Mus musculus: one gene and its partners. The protein of the gene in region 1 purifies or fractionates together with the protein of each later gene. This does not show direct contact. Links are inferred from orthologs where the notes say so. Each region holds a gene or a part of one and is shown in the gene's direction. Other genes may lie near its edges.

Region 1 (4,227 bases):
AAGACCTGGTAATTCAACCCATTGCTTGGTCTCTCTGCCCAGTCTTGTCCTAGAGAAGCTGTAGTCTCTGGTTTCTTTAGGAGGCCCTGTGTGGAAAAGTCTTTTGTCTTCGTGGTGCCAGGAATACCAATCATGTGCTCACTGGTTAGGTGAGCCTGGCGCCTTGGTGGGGCTAGTGATGCTCCCTAGACACAGCAGGGCAGGGCAGGGCAGGGCAGGCAATTGCCCTCTTCCTGGCTGGGCTGAGGCCAGATGGGTGCTTTCAGGCCTCTCCCTTTACTTCAAAGCTGTTTCATTCTAGCGACCTTATCACAGCCTTCTTTGAGCCGCCTGTACAGCATAGCCTGTTCAGGTTGAGCCTGACTGTCCCCGTTCATTGCTGGATGGATCCCCAGCACTGGCCTCACAGATTGGCCTAGAGCATGGTTACCCAAAGAATGTAACCTCCATGCTACATTCACATTGACTCTCTCCAGGCTTGGCGCTTCACTCCAACAATGGCTATTTGGGGGCCTGGAAGCCTCTTCAAAGTTCAAAGGTAGGAAATAAAGGTGAAGATTAGCCAACAGGGTGGTCCTAGCCTCGAATCTCCAAGCTGGCTATTGGGAGGCAGACAGATCTGAGTTTAAATAGCGAGCTCCAAGCCTTATATAGTAAGACCCTGTCTCAAAACAAAACAACAAGAGTTTCAGGCAAGTATATATGTGGTGAAAATGCCTGTGACCCCAGCGCAGGTGGAAGGAGATCATGAATTTTAGACCAACCTGGTCAACATACTGAATTTACAGCTACTCTGTGCCAAACAGGGTCCCGTCTTAAAATGCAAAGAAAATAAAACTTTAAAAATCAAATAAGCAGGTGTACCATGTCAGGAGTATTTAAGAATTCTAAGCCGCCTAGGTTAAAGAAACACCTTTGTCTCAACATGGCATACATGTATATATATATATATATTTAATTCAGTATCAGTAGAGAAGGTTCAACTCCTGAACCCCTGGTCAGCAAACTCAATTCTATTTCCTTAGGTTATTAGGAGAGTAACGGTGGTCAGGCTGAGGCGACTCCTTTAAGGAAAACACACACCCACAACCGGTTTTGCGGTTTGTTGTTTCCAGGCTTTTCCAGGACTGGGGTCTTTCAAGCCGTTTAAGACAGCCCATGCCTGAAAGACCCTTCGGGTCGAGATGGTTTCCCAGCCGGTGCCGGAGTCCGCTTTGAAGGAGAGCATGGCGCTGTTTAGGCCAGCGGAGTAAGGAGGACGTCCCTCTCTTGCCCAGCCACCCCTCCACCCGCCGCCGCTCAGCACCTCTCCAGGAGACCTCTGCGGCGCTCAGGGTCTGCCGCCTGTGTTTCGACTGCCGTCAGGCGATCTCAACGGCCAGCCCGGCCGGCTGTGTGACGTCACGGGCTCGGGGTCCTCGGCGCCTGCGTCCCGCTGCTATAAAAGGCGACGCCGCGCGGCGCCGCTCGAGTGGCCTTGTTCTCGATACTTCGTTGTGGTTGTGAACTCTGTCCGGCAGCCTCGGGCCTGCGGTCTTGAGACGGAGCACCGTGAGTAGCAACCCGCGAGCCGGACACGTTCCTCGAGGGAGGGGCTGGGTGGGAGCCTCGCGTTGGCTGTGGAGTGCACGAGGCGGCGAGGCGACCTGGCCTCGTATCCTGAGGCGCCGTGCGGCCCGTTGCAGACCCCCGGACCGCGGGAGGCACGAGGAGGCCGAGTCAGGCCTTCAAGGGTCTCCCATCCTTTCGGCGCTCGCTCAGGGAAGAGAGTCGAGCCCTGTGGCAGGCCTGCCGCTTTGCAGGCGACGTCAGTCGGCCCCAAACGCGACTGGAAGGCCCAGGCTTCGTACCGGGCCTGCCTTAGCGACAGGCTTGCTGCTCCGCGCTCCAGGCCGGGTGGGCAGCGAGGCTTTGAGTAGGGGTCCTGGGCCGTTCCAGGTGGTGGCTGTCGTTGCCATTTGATTCTTGGCTCCCTCCCTTTTCTCCTGTATCTGGCGTCAATTAGCTCCTTATTGGTCTCACCTTTTTAACCACCGAATATGCAGGTAACAGACTCCCAATGTTTCTTTGCGTTTTGTCACGTTCTGCAGTCTCTGAACTTGTTACTGTAATAGACACTGTCGTCTGAGGTGTGTGGCATTTGACGCTAAAACCTGAGGTGTTTGGGTTTTTTAAGGGATAGTGCTAAAACCTGCCTTCTGGTTCACTTTTTCACGGAGTCCTCAGGTTTGGAGACTCAGTTTTTCAGCAGAATGTTACAGTAGACTGTATTGTGGCATAGAACAATGCAGTCTCTTCCGTCCTGCAGTGTAGTAACAAGTGTCAGAATTTCGAGTCACTTAAAACAGGTTTGTTTTTAAAGTCTGGTATACTAGAATTCTCATGCTAGACTTGGATGATTAATTTCCAAGTCTAGGAGCTTAGAGAACTGAAGAAGGGTTTTTTGAAAGCATATCAAATCGAAACCTCATACATTATTACTTAAAAATTTTGCACTTAATTCCAACACAACAACAAAAGTGAAGTCTAGGATTACAGAGTGCGTTGAATTACAGATTAACCGATTGCCTCCCTGTCATTTAATAAGATCCTGGCTCCCTTGCAAGTAACCTAATACCTAAATTTGACTATGACTAAGCACATCTTTATTTATTGTGAATTATTTCAAGGAAATACGGGGTGGTCTTTTAAAATAATTTTATCAACTACATAGACTTGTTCTGGAATGCTCATTGTAGTACTAGAGATCATAAAAAGAACACAGTGTCTTGCTATTAAAAACTGGCCTATTTTAACTTTTATTGTTGCCTTATCATAGGGAGGGTCTGCTGCTCTGACTTCTCTGTTCTGCAGACATGTTTGTTAGTTGAAAAGTGAACTCTTGAGTCTCTTCAACCATGGATGAGTGGGAGCTGGGTATTTCAATGGATGATTGTAAAACAAGCTTTACCTCTCCCAACCCCCTTTCTTGAAGCTTGTTTACTTGAGGAATTGGGGACAAGTGTCTCAGAAAGCTGAATGAATATTTTAGGAGATGTGCTGAGTCTTAAGTGTTTGACCCTAAAATAGGTGTAGTAGTTATTTTAAATGCTAAACCCTGTACTTTTGTGAAAAATCGCGTTAGTAATACAACTCAGATCCAGAAATGCTTAAGAAGTACCTTTAGAGTAACATTGAAGGCTTGTATCTTCCTTAGAAGCACAGACCTGCCTAGTTGCATGTGAGGTAGGGATTTTGGTGCCCACCTTTAGTCCCAGCACTGGAGGCAGCGGCAGGTTTATGGCTGAGTTCAAGACTAGTCTTAAGTTCCAGGACAGCCAGGGTAATACAGAGGAACCCTATCTCAAAAAACAAAACAAAAACTATCAGAAAAAAAGTTGCTTGTGAATTTTAAAGAGGTCTTGAATTAATCCTCTTTTGAAGGGATGAGGGGGAAATCTGATGATAAGAAATTGCTGGCTTAGAGCTTTTAGTATTAATACTGATTTGTTTTTATTTGGCTTTTTTTTTTTCCCTGATGACTCATTTTATATCTCAGTTGATAAGGTTTTGGATTTTTGTTTTTGGGGGGATTTGTTGAGTTTAGTTTTTGAGACGGGGCCAAGAAAACCAGGCTAACCTTAAATTTATTTTCCTATGTGTCAAGAAGATGGTCATAAACTCCTGATCCTTCTATTTGGCAAACTGTTGGGATTATGGGATGTACTTGCTTGGCTCACCTTTTGGGGAGAGGGGGAGAGGGCGGTGTTGCAGATTGAAATAGAGCTTTATACGTGTTAGGCATTATACTAAGGAGCTATATCTCCAGCCTCTTTTGTATTTCATTTTAAGCAGACTCTTACTGAGTTCCACCAAAGCTGGCTTGACCTCATTATGTTACTTAGTCCTTGAAATTATGATCCTCACTCGGGCATCTAAAAGCTGGGCATTACAGGACTTTTCTCTGTATAGCCCTGGCTGTCCTGGAACTCACTCTGTAGACTGGCCTTGAACTCAAAGAGATGCACCTGTGTCTTGACTCCCAAGTGCTGGAATTAAAGGCATACACTACTACCATGCCATTTTAAATTAATTTATATTTGGTGGGTGTTTTTGTTTTTGGAGACAGATTCTTACATAACCTAGGCTGGATTTGAACTTGGCTGTGTGCCTGATGTCTGAATTCCTGTGTCTCAAGTACTGGCTTTATAGGTGCCTGCCACTATGACTTAAATGCATTTTTGTAGT
Region 2 (4,059 bases), on another chromosome or scaffold:
AAGACACCAAATGAGGTGAGCCCCTGTGCAGGTTGGGCCCAGGAAACTGGAAAATAACAGCTGTCACAGGGAAAACAGGAGGCACGAGGGTGTGGGCTGGGGCATGTGATGTGAGAGAACAGCATGTCCAAAGCGCTGGAAATGAGAGGCTCGTAATGACGCTGTAGTCAGAGAGTGGTGCCAATTAATGCCATTAAATTGCTGACTAAATTCTAGATTCTTTCATTGCTCATTCCCAAGATGGGGAAGGTGACTACCCATAGGATCAACACAAGGACAAATCGGAACAGTTCTCTGCTGGATAGCTCCAGCCCTCCATCCCAACTAGCCCATCTTAGCCCAAGTGCAACGGTTGCTGCACTTGTTCAATCAGCAAACTCTGCCAGAATCTCCAAAGAATCAAAGGATTCCCAAAGGAGACAGGAGAATATTGCCCTGCACATCTCTGATTCCCACATAGAATCCAGTTCAGAGTTTTGTGCAAAATAACTGCACTGTGTCTGCTAAACAGAACGTAAAAGAAATGAATTCATTTGAGGGCATAATTACTGCCTCAACCCACGTCCTCTGAAACCTTTGTCCTTTCTCCCAAACCCACTCCTGCCGCATAAAAGGGCGTCTCCTTTATCCTTATGCCTTTCTGTATGCAAATACCAAGATTCTCTGCGAGGAAGTGGATTTTGAAATCGGAAGATTCTGAGTGGAATCTTACTGGATTCATGGTATTGCGCAAGTCATTCAAACTGGGGCGCCCTAAGCTTACTTCATCTGCAGAGTAAGACTAACAAGCATCTGTTTTATTCGTGTTTATGAAATGAACGTTACCAGGATGAGATGAAAATAGAAAATAGGACAGTTTGTGTAAGGCAATCACCGCTCAGCCTCACATATGAACAGGACAATGAACTGTTAGAAAGGGCCCGGTAACAGGTCTGTCAGCCACCGGCCGGAGTCACCGCAACCCCTGTCTTTCCCGGGGACGCGAAATGCGTAGGAGATCCGAGGTCCCTCCAGACTCAGCCCACGCGGGGCGGACGCAGCGCGGTCCTGCGTCACCGGCGGGTGGCTACCAAGCGGGACCACACATGGTGGGAACGTGAGGGGGCGGAGCCTGCGCCGACGCTGCTGACCAATGGAACAGAGGGAGGGTCCCACCGGGTCTCACCCAATCACAGAGGCGATCCAGACTCCTTGGGGCGGAGTCATGCCAGGGAGAGGCTGCATCATAGGTCGCTGGGCGGGCGCTGGGCGGGACCAACGGGGCGGTCGGGCGGAGCGGCAGACCGAGACCCAGTCCAGGCGGCGATGGCGGCGGCTGCTGTGGTGGCAGCGACGGTCCCCGCGCAATCGATGGGCGCGGACGGCGCGTCCTCGGTGCACTGGTTCCGCAAAGGACTACGGCTCCACGACAACCCCGCGCTGCTAGCTGCCGTGCGCGGGGCGCGCTGTGTGCGCTGCGTCTACATCCTCGACCCGTGGTTCGCGGCCTCCTCGTCTGTGGGCATCAACCGATGGAGGTGAGGGGACCCTATGCTGCGGGGTGGCAACACCAAGCGGACTCCCCTGGGCCCAGGAACTCCAGCCTGCGGCCACTCTGACACAGCGTTTTTGCCCAGTGTGGCCCGCTCTGAACTCCTGGGAGGCCTGGGGGACAGAGGTCCCTCTATGCTGACGAGACTCTCGTCAAAAACGCGAAGTCAACCTGAGGGAGGATCTGCAGCCAGTCCCTGGAAGAATGGGGACTGGGCTTTTAGGGGTGTGCTGTGGGAGCGGAGAAAAGCTTCTTCAAGAGAAGTAGCCCCTCGTGGACCCCCCCCCCCCAAGGGCTTCCCTAAGCCTCGGATTTGTTTGACTCTCCCCCACGCCTCTTTTCCCATCCCGCGTAACCTCTCTTCACAGACAAACGTGGTGGTGATCAGGGAACCTAGCTTAGCATTAGCCGGTTTTAAAAAGACCCCAAGGGCATCATCGGGTAATGGCACTTTTGTGTTCTTGACGCATTTTTTTTAAAAAACATTGATTGGGAAAGGACATGCATGGCATGGCAGTGTATAGAGTTAAAAGGACGACTTGCAGGTTCTCACTCACCATACGGTTCCAGGGTGGAAAGCCGGGTGCCTTTACCCAATGAGCAATCTCTCAGGAGGTCCCCTAACCCATCTGAGAGGATCCCTGTGTAGTTATAACGTTGCTAGAAAGATATTCAAAGAGGGTTGCATCACCCGTCAGCTCTTCCGCCTGTTGTCATGAAGTGTTTTTTAGGAGAGCTGGGCCATTACAGATGAGACTTTTAGGAGCTGATGTGGAAAAACAAGAACACAATATGAAGATTCGGTGATAACTCCCAGGAGGCTGAACCCTTTCCCAGCATGCTGTGACATAATAAATCGGCATCTGATGTATTTTCTCTGTAACCAGTCTTCAGAAACAAGACGTTTTGATACACCATGTTCCCATCACTGTCTAAAGGCCTCCCTGCAGTAGCTTGGTTTGTTTGCATTGTTATGAGAGGTGTTTGCTTATGGCCTTGTTGCACAGATGAGTGAGGTAGTTCCCAGGAGACCGTGGCTCTCAGCGTCCACTCTTTCCTCTCCAAGAGGGGTTTGCCCTGCTAGGAGAGCAAGTGTTCCTAGTAGCACGCCTACTAAATGCCCCTTCCTGCCCCATTTACACAGAGGGAGCAACTAAAGATAGTCCTGTGAAGAGCCAGCCCACACAGTTTTCAGATTGGGCTATTACTCTGTCTCGCTCCAGTTTCCATAGATAGGAGGTTGGGTTTGACAAACACCGGCAAATGACCATCTCTGCTGTGGACATTAAACCAGGCCTCAGACTTTGCCCTCCCCTTCCTTTTGGCAGTGCGCCAGTGTGGACAGAGTCAATAGAATCTGACTCTTATTTGTTATGTTGTCATGAAGATGTTTCGTTTTTTACTGGGATTTGGGGGGAGCGCTATCTATGACTGCCTACTCCTTTGTGGTAGTGGAAATAAAAGAGCCTTTTTTCCCCCTTCACAAGGTAGATTGAACTCCAGTATGCTTGGTTTTATGGTTTTTTGATTTTTGTGGGTCACCCTTTTGTAGCGGCACTTTCGAGAGAATGAAGCAGAAAACGACTGAGGCAGCTCAGATGCTTGGGCAACATCTCAAGTCCTGTGGGAGTGCAGGTACTGAGAATGGGATTCCAGGAGTTGTAGCTGGTAGGCTGCTGCCGAGCATGGCAGTGAACCGTCGGGCCTCGGTGAGCTCCCACAGCCTCCAGAGACCTGCATCTGAGTAGAGAAAGACAAGCATAAATGGAGGCCTAAATGCCGTGAGCAGAATGGGGTGGGGGTGGAGGTGGGGAGACACAAACTACAGATGTGCTTTTAATATTTGCCTCACGTTGGAATCACTTAAGGACCCTTGAAAGCTTCCTGGGCTCCCCTCCCCCGTTTCTGCTTCTCTGATTCAGTTGCCTTGCCCTACCCTAGGCTGCCTTGGTTTTTTGGCCACTGCAGCCAAGCTTCAGAAGTGCTGCACTAAGGAACTATAGCAAGCCAGGCAACCCAGGGAGTGTGTTGCTTCAGTGCATTGACCAGAAGTCTAATTAGCTTTGGCATTTAGGAGGACAAGGTGAAATAACAAAAAAACAGATCGAATATGGTAGCTGCTTCTGAGCCCGGCATCAGGCACACTCCAGCAGCCTCGCCGTTGTCCTTGCCCCCAGTGGTTTGAGTGCGGGGCTAAATGCCATTTGTGCACAGGGTTGGAGGTGAGGAGTTGGAGGCGAGGAGTCCACCCATCCCACCCCACCTGCCCCCCTCAGCTGCATTTCTGCATAACTACAGTATGTGTAATCTTCCGGCACTGCTTCTGAGCTTGGGAGTAGTCTTAAGAGAATGGTGCTGCTGCAGCATGACGGCCCTGCCCCCTACTGCTTCAGCAACCGACTCTCTCTAGAAGGGTGGGGCCCATCTGGCAGCAGAGGGAGATCTGATTCTGTCACCTCTGTTACACTGACTGCCTCCCTGCAGATGGAATCCGATTAAAATAGCCACAGTGTTAAAGAGAAAGGCAA
Region 3 (4,200 bases), on another chromosome or scaffold:
TAACCCTGGATGAATATATGCACATAGGTGATGCTAGGACTCAGGGATAAGAGCAAAACCAAGAGCCATCTTCAGTTACACAGCAGGTTCAAGGTAAGCCAGGGCTCCGCGAGACCCCGTCTCAACAAAAAGGGCATTGTATGTCTAAGGCATGGCCTGTAGGTTATGGCTAGGAAGTCTGGTAAAGATGCACATGTGGCCCTGTGTTCTCATTAGACTTCAATTGCTTTGATAAAACATCATGAGCAAAAGCAACTTGGCCAGGAAGGAAGGGGTTTGTTGCCGTTTACAGTTAATAATCCATCGTGGGGAGAAGTCAGGGCAGAAATTCAAAGCAGAAACCTGGAGATAGAGGGCTGAAGCAGAAGCCATGGAGGAAAGCCGTTTTGGTTCCCTGTGGCTTCCTCAGCCTGCTTCCATATACAACCCGCCTAGGGCTACCAGCCTAATGGTGGCGCCACACACACTGGTCGGGTCCTTCCACATCACTCATTAATCAAGAAAGTGCCCAGACTTCCCTACAGGCAACCTGATGGAAGTCTTTACTACAATTAAGGTTCCTCTTCCCATTTAACTTCAGTTGAAGAAAAAAAAAAAAAAAAAAAAAAAAAGCAAAGCAAAAAGCCCAAAAACCTAATCAAAATACCTTCTAAACTACACTTCATGTAATAGATTAGAGTTGATAAATTGACGATGTATCTACAGTATTATGAAATGCTGAATATCTGAGATCGGACCTGTCTTCTCCAGAGCTTGGGCAAAGGTGCCCGCCCCAAACAGTAAAAAAGGCTAACGGCGTGATTTCTGCTCCTTTCAGAGCAGGGGACTCCGATTAACACCTGATTGAAGCTGGGTGAGAGGCAGGACTGTGCCTCGGTTGCCTCTCACCCAGCCCAGCAATAACTCTCAGGGCACACGGAACTGGCTTCAGACCTTCCACACAACCCATAGGAAGAGCCCTGGGCGCGCTCCCGCGTCCTAGCCTCTTCTCTTCCACCGCGAGAGCGCAGCGCACGCGCGCCGTGCCCGGCAGAGCGCGCGCCCGCGAGCTCCCCGCAGCCCCGTGCTCATCCGGGTCCCCGCGAGCCTCGGCCAATGGAGGCGGCTCCCGGCCCCGGGAGCAGAACTATGCCTCCTCCCCCTTCTCGCGGCCTGTGGCCCCCGCGAGCGGCCTGGGGCTCAGGAGACCCGCAGAGGCTGCGAGTCCGGATCCCACGCGAGAACTCAGGTCGTGAGCGCCCAGCGATCGCAACCGGTCCCGAAGCACCGGGCGCGGCGGCGCACGCGGGGGTCTGAGCCAGTGTAGTAAACACACTTCAGAAACGTGAGGTGCCGGTGGTCACGTGGGGTGCATGCCGCCCAATGAGAAGCCGGGGGCGGGGCGGAGGCCGCTGACGCGGCGGAGTCACCCGGGCAGCCTCGGGACCGGTGACCGGCAGGCGAGCGTCCCGCGGCCTGGAGCTCTAGCCCGCGCTCTCCGAGCTCGCTGCCCACTCCGGGACGCACAGGCCGCGTCGCGCGGAGGCCGCGTGAGCTCGTGTCCGTTCGTGGAGGCCGCCTCGGGCGCGCCACCGTCTCCTCGCGGGTCGCCTCGGTTGGGCGAGGTTTCCGTGACGAGCCTCCCGGGGCTGCTGCGACCAGCTCGGGCCGTCGTGGCGGCTCGGGCCCCGCGCGCTCGCTTGCGCTCCGGGGGTCTCAGGCCCTGGAAGGTATGCGTGTCCTCCGGACGCTGGGCGCGGGCTCCTGAAGGACGTCGCGCGTGGATCCCGGCGCCTCGGCAGCCTCCATTCATCTGCCAGCTGCGCGCTCGCCACCTCCGCGCCCCGCCTCGGCGTCGCCTCCTCCCGTCCCCTCTCTGCAGCCCTTTCCCCACTCCTCGGGTGAGGAGGTTTTCTTGGAAGCGCAGGTGTCGGTTATGAGCCCGGCTTCCCTCCCTTGAAGCTCTCGGTAGAGGAAGTCGGGGTGACCCGCCGCGCCCCGAGCATGGGGGTGAACGCCGTGCACTGGTTCCGAAAGGGACTCCGGCTCCACGACAACCCCGCCCTGAAGGAGTGCATCCAGGGCGCCGACACCATCCGCTGCGTCTATATCCTCGACCCCTGGTTCGCCGGCTCTTCCAACGTGGGCATCAACAGGTGGCGGTGAGTCCGAAGCGCTTGGGAAATCAATCGATCGCGGTGTGCGCGAGTCGGGTGTCGATGCGTTAGTGTCAGATCTGAGATTTGGTTTTAGTCCAGGGACCGAATTGCCTACATCGTTAAAGAATTGTAGATGTGGTCAATATTAAATAGTACAGACTTAGTAGTAGAGATTATTGACGACCCTGAAACACTTTAGCTTTTACCGGTAAGTTATGTGTCTGTGTTGATGGGAACGCCTTCCCTGATTTGCGAGAAATAACTAGGAGGAGAATTAAACACTCCCAGATCATAATGGCCTTGATATCTTAGGCCTCCGAAAGGGTTGTAATCTTTAATGTTGACGTGTGTGTCTAGGTAACTCATAGTGTGGAGAAAAACCATTCATTTATTATAGCGGGCTCCGGATCCAGCTTTCTTCCCCCTTGAGGTTAGAGGAGGAAAAGCAAGGGAAAGAATTAGCTGGTTTCCCAACTCTCTCTCTCAACTCCTCCTTGTGGTTGACAAGACAAAGCACAGTTTTTCTTTCGAGGCAAAGTATAATCCTTCTAGGGAATTGCGACTGGAAGAAATCCTCCGGACATTTTGTGAGCTGTGCCTGGGAAAACAGGATAGACGATTGTGTGGCGGAATGAAACGAAAGCATTAGTTCAGCAGATAATATTGATAGCTTATGTGCCAGCCGTGTCTTTGGATATGAGGGATAGAGCTGTGAACGAGAAGTCTGCCCTCTTCAGGCATATGTCCAAGAAAAAAATACGTATGTAGTCCTTTTGGAGATGAGACGTGTTGCAAAGAAAAGACGAGGTAAACAGGAATAGGGATGGGGACACAATTTAAAACAATGTTAATTAGCTGGGGATGTAGCTCACTGGAAGTTACCACAGCTAGGATGTGTGGAGAAAGTGGTCGCCGATTTGAAGACATGGGATGCAGCTGTCTAAGGGAAGAACATTCCAGGGAAAGGTCCTGAGGTGAGAATGGGTTTGATCTTTGGAAGGAACAGCCAGCCAGAATGACGAGCAAAACCTCTGGGGGAAAGTACTAGGTGATGAAGTTATAGTTGTAACGGGGGCCAGATTCTAGAGCTTTATGCGCCGTCACTAAGGTCTGTGACTTTACCCCAGGAGAGTGGAAATGACTGCAGTACAAGGGTATTAGCAGAGAAGTGATGTCATCTAACGTAAGTTAGAAAAAAAACCTTCTTTGGTTGGGATTCTGAGAACGTGACTGATCGGGCATTGAAGCTGGATAAGAAGTGTGGACACCGCTTAGGAGACGTTCATTTCCGGGTGCAAGCTTGGAGAATGGCTTGTGTGGATGTGCCGGCAAGTTGGTTGTGGGGTTGAGCGGAACAAAAAGAGCTGTATTATCACAGTCAACAGGTGAAAACAGCCCTCGTGCCAACCGGCTGATTAATGGGCCTCCTGTTGTGTGTATCCATGCACCAGTTACTTGCTTGGCCATGAAGGAATGAGATACTGATAAATGCCATGAAATGTGTAGGTGAACCATGAGAGCATGTTAGCTGAAAGAAGCTGTCATAAAACTTCATACTTGATGATTGTGCTTATATGAACTATCCACAATGGGCAAGTACACAGGGATGGAGAGCAGGTTAGTGGTGACTTAGTCCTGGGGAGTCAGGAGGGTATCTCAGTGGGCACAGAGGTGATTAAAACTTACTGGAAGGTTTTTGTCAGAAAACCTCCATGAATAGCTATTAAACTGTGAGGGGTTTTGTTGTTATTGTTTGGTTGTTTTTTGGTTTGTTTTGTTTTTTTTTTGTTGTTGTTGTTGATGTTGTTGTTGTTTTTTTTCTTTTTTTTTGAGACAGGGTTTCTCTGTATAGCCCCGGCTGTCCTGGAACTCACTCTGTAGACCAGGCTGGCCTCAAACTCAGAAATCCACCTGCCTCTGCCTCCCGAGTGCCGGGATTAAAGGTGTGCGCCACCACTGCCCTGCTAACTGTGAGCTTTCAGAAGTCTACTTATCTCTTCGAAACTCAGCCCAGATGTCACTTTTCCCTGTGGTACCTTCATTACCCAGTGTAGGATGATAC
Region 4 (4,244 bases), on another chromosome or scaffold:
ACCAACTCAAGGGTAAAAGTGTCATGAGATAACATCTGAGGTTTACAACAGCTTTATTATAACTCACTACCTGATGTTTCTGCCAGTGTATTTTAAAAGCTTTAAGTTATGATTTTCTTATTTCTGCTATTTAAAAAAAAACTTTATGAAACCATTACACATTGGCAAGTAGTTTGGGGGCTGTCCTGAATATGTGTTGTCAGGCCATGGTAACTCATACTTGGCTCCAGAATAAACAAACTATCATGTATTTCTTATGAAGTGATACCTGTGTTTTTGAAAGCACAAAAAGACCACCAAATGAAAGAATATACCCAATTGAATTAAAGAACGAACTCAATGGTGCTGAAATAAACTTTACTGCTTTTGTATTATGCCAGGCCCTAACTATATACTTCACCATCTCATCCCTGTTTATTCTTCAGAACAACCTGGGAGAAGAAGGTGGGGAGATGGGGAAGGCCTACACTTACTTATTCAAGTCCAAATACATTGACAGAAATAAGTAACGTGAGTACACACATTTCACTTACAGGAATTACACACAATTCTTCAATTACACGGATAATTGCAGTATTAAAGTTACCATGTGCACATATATACATATGTAATGCTGTTTTGGTCTGGTTTTGTTTTCCTACCAGAACTCCAAATTGGGATACATGGTTGATACCTGGAGCTACAGCCCAGTGTGCTAACGCTAATTCTTAGTAAGGAAAGAACTAGCAAGTCTGGTAAAAATTAAGAATAATTTGAACATTGTGCACGGTGCTCCCATACGCCAACCTTACTGAGTTTAGAATCAGCAGTTAACCTACCCCGCCCTGTAGATTGTCAAATTGAGTCTTAAATGTTCTATGTACATGATCTCTGTCCCCCCCCCCCTCCCCCGGGGCGACCACAAGAGTTAGATACCTCCGTGTTAGTTACAGGCCTGTGAGTACATCGACAAGAGAGCTGTAGGTTAAAAAAAAAAAAAAAATCTAGATTTCAGTCCAGTTTTGTGACATTGTGACAGCTATCTTCACTTTAGACAATGTAGAGGAAAAAAAAAAATCTATCAAGCAGACCTCTGCTCATAAGCCAAAGGCCCAGTGTTACATTTATTAATAAAACATTGATGTGAAAATCGTCATGTTCAAGAGACTATAGATCATAAACATGCAAAGGCAATGCTCGCAAATCACAGAATGATTTAATAGTCTTTGCGCCCCGCCACTTACCCACACCCCGAAATCAAGGGTCCTGTTTTTCGCTGGAAAATATTTTTATTGCACCTATTCATTTTGCCAATGAAGAAGAGGGGAGCCAGCGTACATCCAGGATTACAGAGTACCAGCACCACGGAAGAGCCGCAAGGAACCAGCTCCAGGAAATAGATTCCGGGTATTTCCGGTAGGGAACGCCTACGTCACCGGAAGAAGGGCCGGCTGCTAGGCTTTAAGAAATACCACGCTTATCATGGCCGCTTCGCTAGGACGGAGCCACACCTAACATGGACGCGGTGAGGCCCGCCCAGGCCCATCCCTCGATGACACTTCTTCGGAAGACGCTAGAGGCGGCGGAAGCGGAAGCGCTGCGGAGGTGGGGGCCGCAGGAAGAGTCTGTCGCGATTCTCGGTCCCTCTCCACCACAAAAACAGACGGAGGGCCGGCGTAAGTGAGCCGCGGCCTGGGAGGCTGTCGCGACGGTGGAGGTGCGCGGTGGTGGGCAGATGGAGGGGTCCGGGGCTCCCACCGCCCAGATCTTCGATCTCGGGGTTCAGGAACTCTGGGGCCTAGAGCGACCGAGAAAGGAGAGTCCGAAGTGTAGCGCTGGCCTTTCAGGCCTTGCTCCCAAGGCATCGCAGTTTTCTAATTCCGCCACGCAGAGCCTTGCCTGGGGCTCGGTTTCATCCCCCAAATGCGAGACTTGGGCCAGACCTGGGGCCCCTCCCCCAACACACACACCCCAGGCGTCCGCAGATGCAACGATTTTAATGTTGAGTCGTTTGAGTCAGTCAATCGAGGAACGCCTGCCCTCAGTCCGCTGAGGAAGTAGCCCTCCTATGATGCGGTTAATTCATCGTGGAAAAAAAGAAAAGAAAGAAAGAAAGAAAAGGGAGACCCTGGTTTTTGTCCCACTGTTACTGTTTTATTTGGGGGGAGGGAGGAATTCCCCCTCATTGTTTTGAACCTTAAATGTCTCATCTTTTCGAGAAAAGTATCTCGAAGTAGACACTGGCTTAAATCTGTCTCCCCCTCTCGCCCCCATCCCATCACAAATGGGAGATACAGTAGGGTTTCTGTAAAGCCATTTTTTTTTTTTTTGTATTTTTTTTTTCTGGAGAGATGGGAAAAGCACATAGTATGTAATTATAGACTGAGAATATTCGTGTGATTTTTTTTTAACTTTTGTTTGAGAATTACCGTTTTTAGATGACTAGAAAGACATGCTCATCCCTCTTGTCATAGATTGTGATGTTGCAGGTGTGCTGTGTTTGGGAGAAGGGTGTCAGGGGTGTGGATGTGTGTGTTGTACAGTGTCGTCCATCCTTTAAGCATAACAGCCATCAGTCTTTGCCAAAGCATGTGTGACTTCCTACAAAAGATCCTGCTGTTTGTCAACATTCCTTTGTAGAAGGTGTGTTTGGGGGGCAGGGGGAGGGCGAGAGGGTGGGAGCAGGTCTTTGGTTCCTCACCTGAGAGTCAGGACTCTCCCTCTGTACCTCTGGCCATTTGTATGTAGTAGTTCTGCCCTGATTGTACTTGGCCTTTTGGTGGGGGAGGTATTAAAGTAGAGTCTGGGAAGTTTGACTGAAGAGGAGAAAAGAATTCCATGGGAAGCCATCATCCATACCAGGTGAGGGCTTGACAGTCTGGCTGCTTTCCAGTACACCAGGCTCCTGTGTAGCTCCTCAGCCATGCTGTGTAAGTAAACCCAAAAACCCATTAGTTCCCCAAGGTAAACTTTGGTGGAATTGTATGTTAGTTTGTCATTGGGGCCTCTTAAGGGAGATTTATGTCTCTAGAGAATGAATTCAGACAACACAGCAAGTGTGTGTGTGTGTGTTTAAATGGTTGTGTGCCTGAGGTACACGTTTCATTTTCATTCAGAAGGACATAACAGAAGAGAAAGGGGAAACTAGGTTTCACTGAAGTTAAGTGGTATAAAAGTTGGTCTTGAGTTGGAATTGAAGGCCTAGGTACTTATTTCAGAAACGGTGCGTTCTGCCTTAGAGACAGACAGCATATTCTTCTGATGCTCATTTTCATTATTTGTAAAATAAAGGGTTGAACTAGATTCCTTGCCCTTTCATCAGTATAGGTTCCCCCCTCCCCTTTTAAATCAAAGCAGTGTGGCGGATGGATGACACTTTGAGAGCAAGAGGACACATTATAGATAGTGGATACATAAAGTATTCTGTGAATATTAATTACGTGATGTGCAAGGTTCCACTGATATAACAGAATGAAGCCAACAGGCGTTAGATAAAGAGGCATTAGAAACCTCATCGGCAGGAATGACCTAGGCAGTGTAGGACCCATGGGATGATTTAAGATCTTTGCTCCAGGTTAATGTTTTGTTTGTTTAGGGCAATGAGATGTCATTTGATCTTAGTAAGTTGGGATGATTGAGGAAGCAACCTGACCTGTGGAATCTAAGAGTATAAGCCAGGTGGGAAGGCTTTGCTGCCACCTTGTACTCACCAGACAGTAACTGAATGAGTGAGGAGATGGAGGAAGGCCTAGATGCCGGTGACCGAGAGCAAGGGGTCTTTTCAAGAGAATTGCTGTTGATCAGGTACAGACCAAGACCTTGATTCCACCTTGTGGGAAAAAGAAATCTTAACAGATCCTTGCCGTTTCAGCTAGTTTTGTGATGTCAGTTTAGCTCTTCTCTGTGAAATACTAGTGTTGCAGAGTGCCATGTGTGAGTTGAGGAGTGGAGAGGAGTAATTACTCCTTTCTAATTAGTAGTCAGTGATAAAAAATACTGACAAGGTAGATCAGGTAGAGGGAGATTGTCGGTTGAAAGGGGCTTAAGGAGTCCAGGAGGTTGGGTATTTATAGGCACAGGTGTTTCAGGCTTATGCACTACAGTGTTAAGTAAATACATCTATGATAGAGTACACAATTAAAATAGCGTAATTTCAAGCAAGTGAATGTTAGAGCATTAAAGCTTAAGACAGGCACAATTTGAGGATCGACCCAAATGATTTTGTCGGTTTATTATAGAGTCCTTTCTGCTGACGACATGGCAGA
Region 5 (4,130 bases), on another chromosome or scaffold:
TTACATGATGGTGTTGCAGATCTACCGTCTCTCATCTGTGATTCCAAAATCTAGGAAGCAGCTTTGAAAACCAAAGTTTACCTTTGTAAATCATTTACCAGCAAATTGTCTTAATCTGATTGACTTCATGATAAAACCTGATTTAAACTGACACGAAGCTTTTTCTATTTTTTTTTTAAATCCCACTGAGTGCAAGTATTCACCTGTTTATTGTAAAAGCATTGCCATTTTGTTAGCAGATATCAGCACTCAGTCTCATTGGACCAATATAAAAAGTATCAATGGTATATTCTTTTTCTCTTCCTAAAATATACTTTTTTTCAAGGGTCTTGTATAAATAATAGACAACTTGAGTTGTCTCTGTGTTACATCTTGAAAACTCAAAGGTGCAGTAATTTCCCAGACCTCTGCACCCAGTAAGCCCATGGGTGAAGTGCTTCAGTTCAGACGTTCTTCCTGATGCAGCAGCAGTCAGTCGCTGGGATGCAGGGTGCACCGACACAGATTCAGAATCGCGACCAGTGGCTTGTCTAGGTCAGCAGTTGCAACCCATTGTTAGAAGGTTATCAAATATTTATGTCTTGAAAGTTGCTTCAAACCTTCTCCACATACACATCTGTTTTTAAAAACACCAACCTCTTCCAGGCTTGTATGTGTTGAATAATGGAGTCTCAGGTGGTGAGAGAATGCCACATGCATTGTTAAAAGAACTAATCAATAACAAGAAATAATATTTTTCTTCGTAGGTATGATTACTGATCTTTTTATAGATAAATTTAAGTTCAAAGGCACTAATGTAAAAACCAAAGTACCCATGCTCCTGGAGATTCTCGACAGCTACGACCAGAACACACTGATTTCTTTCTTCGATGCAGCATGAAAGATAAACAAGGTAGGCCAACAGGACAGCCGAAGAAGCAAGCAGAGCCTGATCAGACCCGAGGCACCTCAGATGGACGTCCCACATGTAATCAGAAGAGTGACGGCCTCTAAGCATCCCCCTACGAGTACCCATGAAAGTCCTTTTTATTGTGTACTTGAGGGGAAAAGAAGATCTTTTAGTCATTCATTTCAGGGGAATATTGCATTGAAAGTTTTAGAATACTATTAAATAAGAGCAAATAAGCTGTCTTTTGTTTTCAAAGGGTAGTTATGAAAACAATGATTACATTTTATTATATTTTATGTATGATTCTTAACTATTAAATGTGAACATTTAAGGTAATATACTTGTGTCTTTATATATTTATTTAGGTTTTGTATATATTTCTCTGTGTGTGTGTGTTTGGGTTGGTTTTTTTTTTTTTTTTTGTGGTTTTTGTTTTGTTTTGTTTTTCGAGACAGGGTTTCTCAAGACAGGATTTCTTTGTGTAGCTGACCTGGAACTAACTCTGCAGTCCAGGCTGGCCTTGCACTCAAGAGATCCACCTGCCTCTGCCTCCTGAGATGCCCGGAAAAGGCTTGGCCATCGCCTCCTGGCTGCCCGGTTTTCTTATGAACACTTTTTTTCTACTTTTGAGACATCATCTCACTACATAGCTGACTTGGACTAACTTGAATTCAGAGATCTGAAACTCTGGGATTAAAGGTATGTACCACAATGCACTTCATTTCTAAATGTAATATCTATTTGGGTCAGTGGAACTTCATGGTCTGATGTCACAACCAAGGATTAGCAAAATTAATGGACAGCTGAATTTCTTGTAGTACACCACTTGTTATCAACAATAGCTCATGTTGGCATTTTAAATTAACCCATCTTTAATTGGGGGTGGGGGTGGGGTAGTTTACTGGAATGCGGGGCATAGAGACACGCCTTTAATCCCAGATCAGTGAGCTCTGATAACGGATATCAGTGAGTCACAGGACAATTGGGACAGCATTATGAGACCCTGCCTCAAAATCAAACAACAAACAAATGATATACAGGAGAGGTGAAACAATAGTAAACAGTAAAAGTTCCAGCGTTTCCCTATGTTGTATGGCAGCATCACAGAGAAAGAGAAAGGAGTAGTGTACCCAGGACGGGGCAGTTTGTCATTCAGATCCATACGCTCCTGCCTAGGCGCCACCCAGCGACCAGGAGAAGGCGCTTCACCCCTTAGCTGAGGCGAAGGCCGACACCTCGAGGCCCCGAGGGCTTGTCTGGACCGCCCAGCGGCTCCGGCAGGATCCTATGAGGCTACAGATCCACTGAGCAGCAGAGATCGGCCGAAAGCGGCCGCCCGCCCCGCCCTCCTCTGCGCAGGCGCGTCCTCAGGCTCCCGCCCTGTAAGATTCCCGTCGGGCCTTCGCTCGCGGCGACCGGCGCTTCTGGTGACGTCACGGACTCCGGACGCCCTCATTGGTTTATTTCAATAGTCGCGGGCTACTTGAACTACAAGACCAGCAGCCGGCGGGCGGCGCGCAGCTCGCGGCTCCTGGGCTCTACGCTCCTCCCGCCTGCAGCCTCTGCTCCGCGGGTCGGCCGCCAGGGTCCCGCGCTGCTCCGGAGCGGCGGGCGCTGTGCACGCTCTGCCGCCGACAGAACCGGACCGGAGCCGCGATGCCGGGCACCTCGAGGCATTCGGGTCGCGATGCGGGCTCAGCCCTGCTCTCGCTGCATCAGGAAGACCAAGAGAATGTCAACCCCGAAAAACTGGCGCCAGCCCAGCAGCCGCGGGCGCAGGCGGTGCTGAAGGCCGGGAACGTGCGTGGACCCGCGCCGCAGCAGAAGCTCAAGACTCGACGGGTAATAGGGCGCGGGGGTCTGGAGGAGGGCCGGGCGGGAGCGGTCCTGGGTTTAGCAGCCCAGAGGGCCGGAAAGCACGCTGAGCATTCCAGGGGGAGTCAGGCTGCAGTCTTCGCGGTCCGGGCGTTTCTAGTACCAAATAGTCCCACGAGCTCTGCCGACCCGTGTAGACCGCCCTTCGGCACTAGTGGCGCCGCGTTCCAAAAAATGCCCGGGGTCATACCAAGCGTTGCCACTCGCGTGTCGACTTCCCCCAGCTGTGTACCTTTCCCTCCACTTTTAAAGCCAGGCATTGCATTAGGATGTAGATCCCTTCCCCCTCACCATCTGCTTCCCAGATTACTACTTCAGGGAAGGACATAAAGCAAGTATTCTTCGTGGTAAATTCCGCCATTTTAGCCAGACTTGCTGTTTTGCTCCACCCTGGGGCTAAAGTTGTGAATCAGTTCTTTGCCCTAACTTTAGTCTTTGATTAGTTTGGAATTCCAGTCCGTTCTATTTATAGCCTTTGTAGAAATGGCTGTGACAGATCGGTTTACACACCTTTACCTGGGCTTTGCCTCATGGACTTATATGTTTCTTAGAGTATTTGGAATTAAAAGCTGATACCCACCGGGCTAGAAGCAAAGTTGTATTGAAAAAGATTCCTCCTCTTTAGGTTGCTCCTCTTAAGGACCTTCCTATAAACGATGAGCATGTCACTGCTGGTCCTTCATGGAAAGCAGTCAGTAAACAGCCTGCCTTCACCATTCATGTGGATGAAGCAGAAGAGACTCAGAAGAGGCCAGCTGAGCTTAAAGAAACAGAGTGTGAAGATGCCCTGGCTTTTAATGCAGCTGTCTCTTTACCCGGAGCAAGAAAACCACTGACACCTCTTGACTATCCAATGGATGGCAGTTTTGGTAAGGTTGCTTTTTATTTTTACCAGTCTCTCTTCCTTCTTTCCCTCCTTTCTGTCTTTTTATTCCCCCTCTGGGTTTCTTGAGTATCCTTGACTGTCCTGAAACTCAATCTGTAGACCAGGCTGACCTTGAACTAAGAGATCCACCTACCTCAGCCTCCCAAGTGCTGGGATTAAAGGCATGTGCCACAACCACCAAGCCTGTGCCTTTTATTTTTGAGACAGGATCTCAACCTGTAGCTTATATCTTGATATTTTGAGTTTTAAGATTATGTCTTACCCGATCATACACAGTGAGTTAAGATTACCGCAATCTCATGACTAGTACTGACCTATGAAAGGACTCAAATCTTTAACCGGCAGGAGGGCACTGCAAACCAACATCAAGTTTAATTAGATCGTAAATATCTATCTTAATCTGACTTTATAAATGTTTGGCTAGGAGAATAGATTTCAGTTTTGTGTCTGACTCACTCCTTAACATGCCAGCCCTAAGAG

The links.
Region 2: the proteins of Skp1 (region 1) and Cry2 purify together in Homo sapiens (co-immunoprecipitation; 3 studies listed by BioGRID and IntAct, with this or other methods). This does not show direct contact. The link is inferred for Mus musculus from reciprocal best matches to the Homo sapiens genes SKP1 and CRY2.
Region 3: the proteins of Skp1 (region 1) and Cry1 purify together in Homo sapiens (co-immunoprecipitation; 4 studies listed by BioGRID and IntAct, with this or other methods). This does not show direct contact. The link is inferred for Mus musculus from reciprocal best matches to the Homo sapiens genes SKP1 and CRY1.
Region 4: the proteins of Skp1 (region 1) and Fbxo38 purify together in Homo sapiens (affinity purification with mass spectrometry; 6 studies listed by BioGRID and IntAct, with this or other methods). This does not show direct contact. The link is inferred for Mus musculus from reciprocal best matches to the Homo sapiens genes SKP1 and FBXO38.
Region 5: the proteins of Skp1 (region 1) and Ccna2 purify together in Homo sapiens (affinity purification with mass spectrometry; 4 studies listed by BioGRID and IntAct, with this or other methods). This does not show direct contact. The link is inferred for Mus musculus from reciprocal best matches to the Homo sapiens genes SKP1 and CCNA2.

The regions. Positions count from the first base shown.
Region 1 is NC_000077.6:52,230,568-52,234,794, forward strand, and holds the start of Skp1 (S-phase kinase-associated protein 1), read left to right. Parts: upstream 1-1,427; 5' UTR 1,428-1,551; intron 1,552-4,227. UniProt on the Homo sapiens protein: Essential component of the SCF (SKP1-CUL1-F-box protein) ubiquitin ligase complex, which mediates the ubiquitination of proteins involved in cell cycle progression, signal transduction and transcription.
Region 2 is NC_000068.7:92,431,270-92,435,328, reverse strand, and holds the start of Cry2 (cryptochrome-2), read left to right. Parts: upstream 1-1,259; 5' UTR 1,260-1,305; coding exon 1,306-1,517; intron 1,518-3,020; exon of another isoform or gene 3,021-3,271; intron 3,272-4,059. UniProt on the Homo sapiens protein: Transcriptional repressor which forms a core component of the circadian clock.
Region 3 is NC_000076.6:85,182,255-85,186,454, reverse strand, and holds the start of Cry1 (cryptochrome-1), read left to right. Parts: upstream 1-1,400; 5' UTR 1,401-1,983; coding exon 1,984-2,141; intron 2,142-2,195; exon of another isoform or gene 2,196-3,068; coding exon of another isoform or gene 3,069-3,112; intron 3,113-4,200.
Region 4 is NC_000084.6:62,546,064-62,550,307, reverse strand, and holds the start of Fbxo38 (F-box only protein 38), read left to right. Parts: upstream 1-1,444; 5' UTR 1,445-1,696; intron 1,697-2,046; exon of another isoform or gene 2,047-4,244. UniProt on the Homo sapiens protein: Substrate recognition component of a SCF (SKP1-CUL1-F-box protein) E3 ubiquitin-protein ligase complex which mediates the ubiquitination and subsequent proteasomal degradation of PDCD1/PD-1, thereby regulating T-cells-mediated immunity.
Region 5 is NC_000069.6:36,570,239-36,574,368, reverse strand, and holds the start of Ccna2 (cyclin-A2), read left to right. Parts: upstream 1-1,330; 5' UTR 1,331-1,588; intron 1,589-2,065; 5' UTR 2,066-2,545; coding exon 2,546-2,731; intron 2,732-3,389; coding exon 3,390-3,633; intron 3,634-4,130. Other genes in the region: Bbs7 (Bardet-Biedl syndrome 7 protein homolog), read left to right, coding at 747-880. UniProt on the Homo sapiens protein: Cyclin which controls both the G1/S and the G2/M transition phases of the cell cycle. Functions through the formation of specific serine/threonine protein kinase holoenzyme complexes with the cyclin-dependent protein kinases CDK1 or CDK2.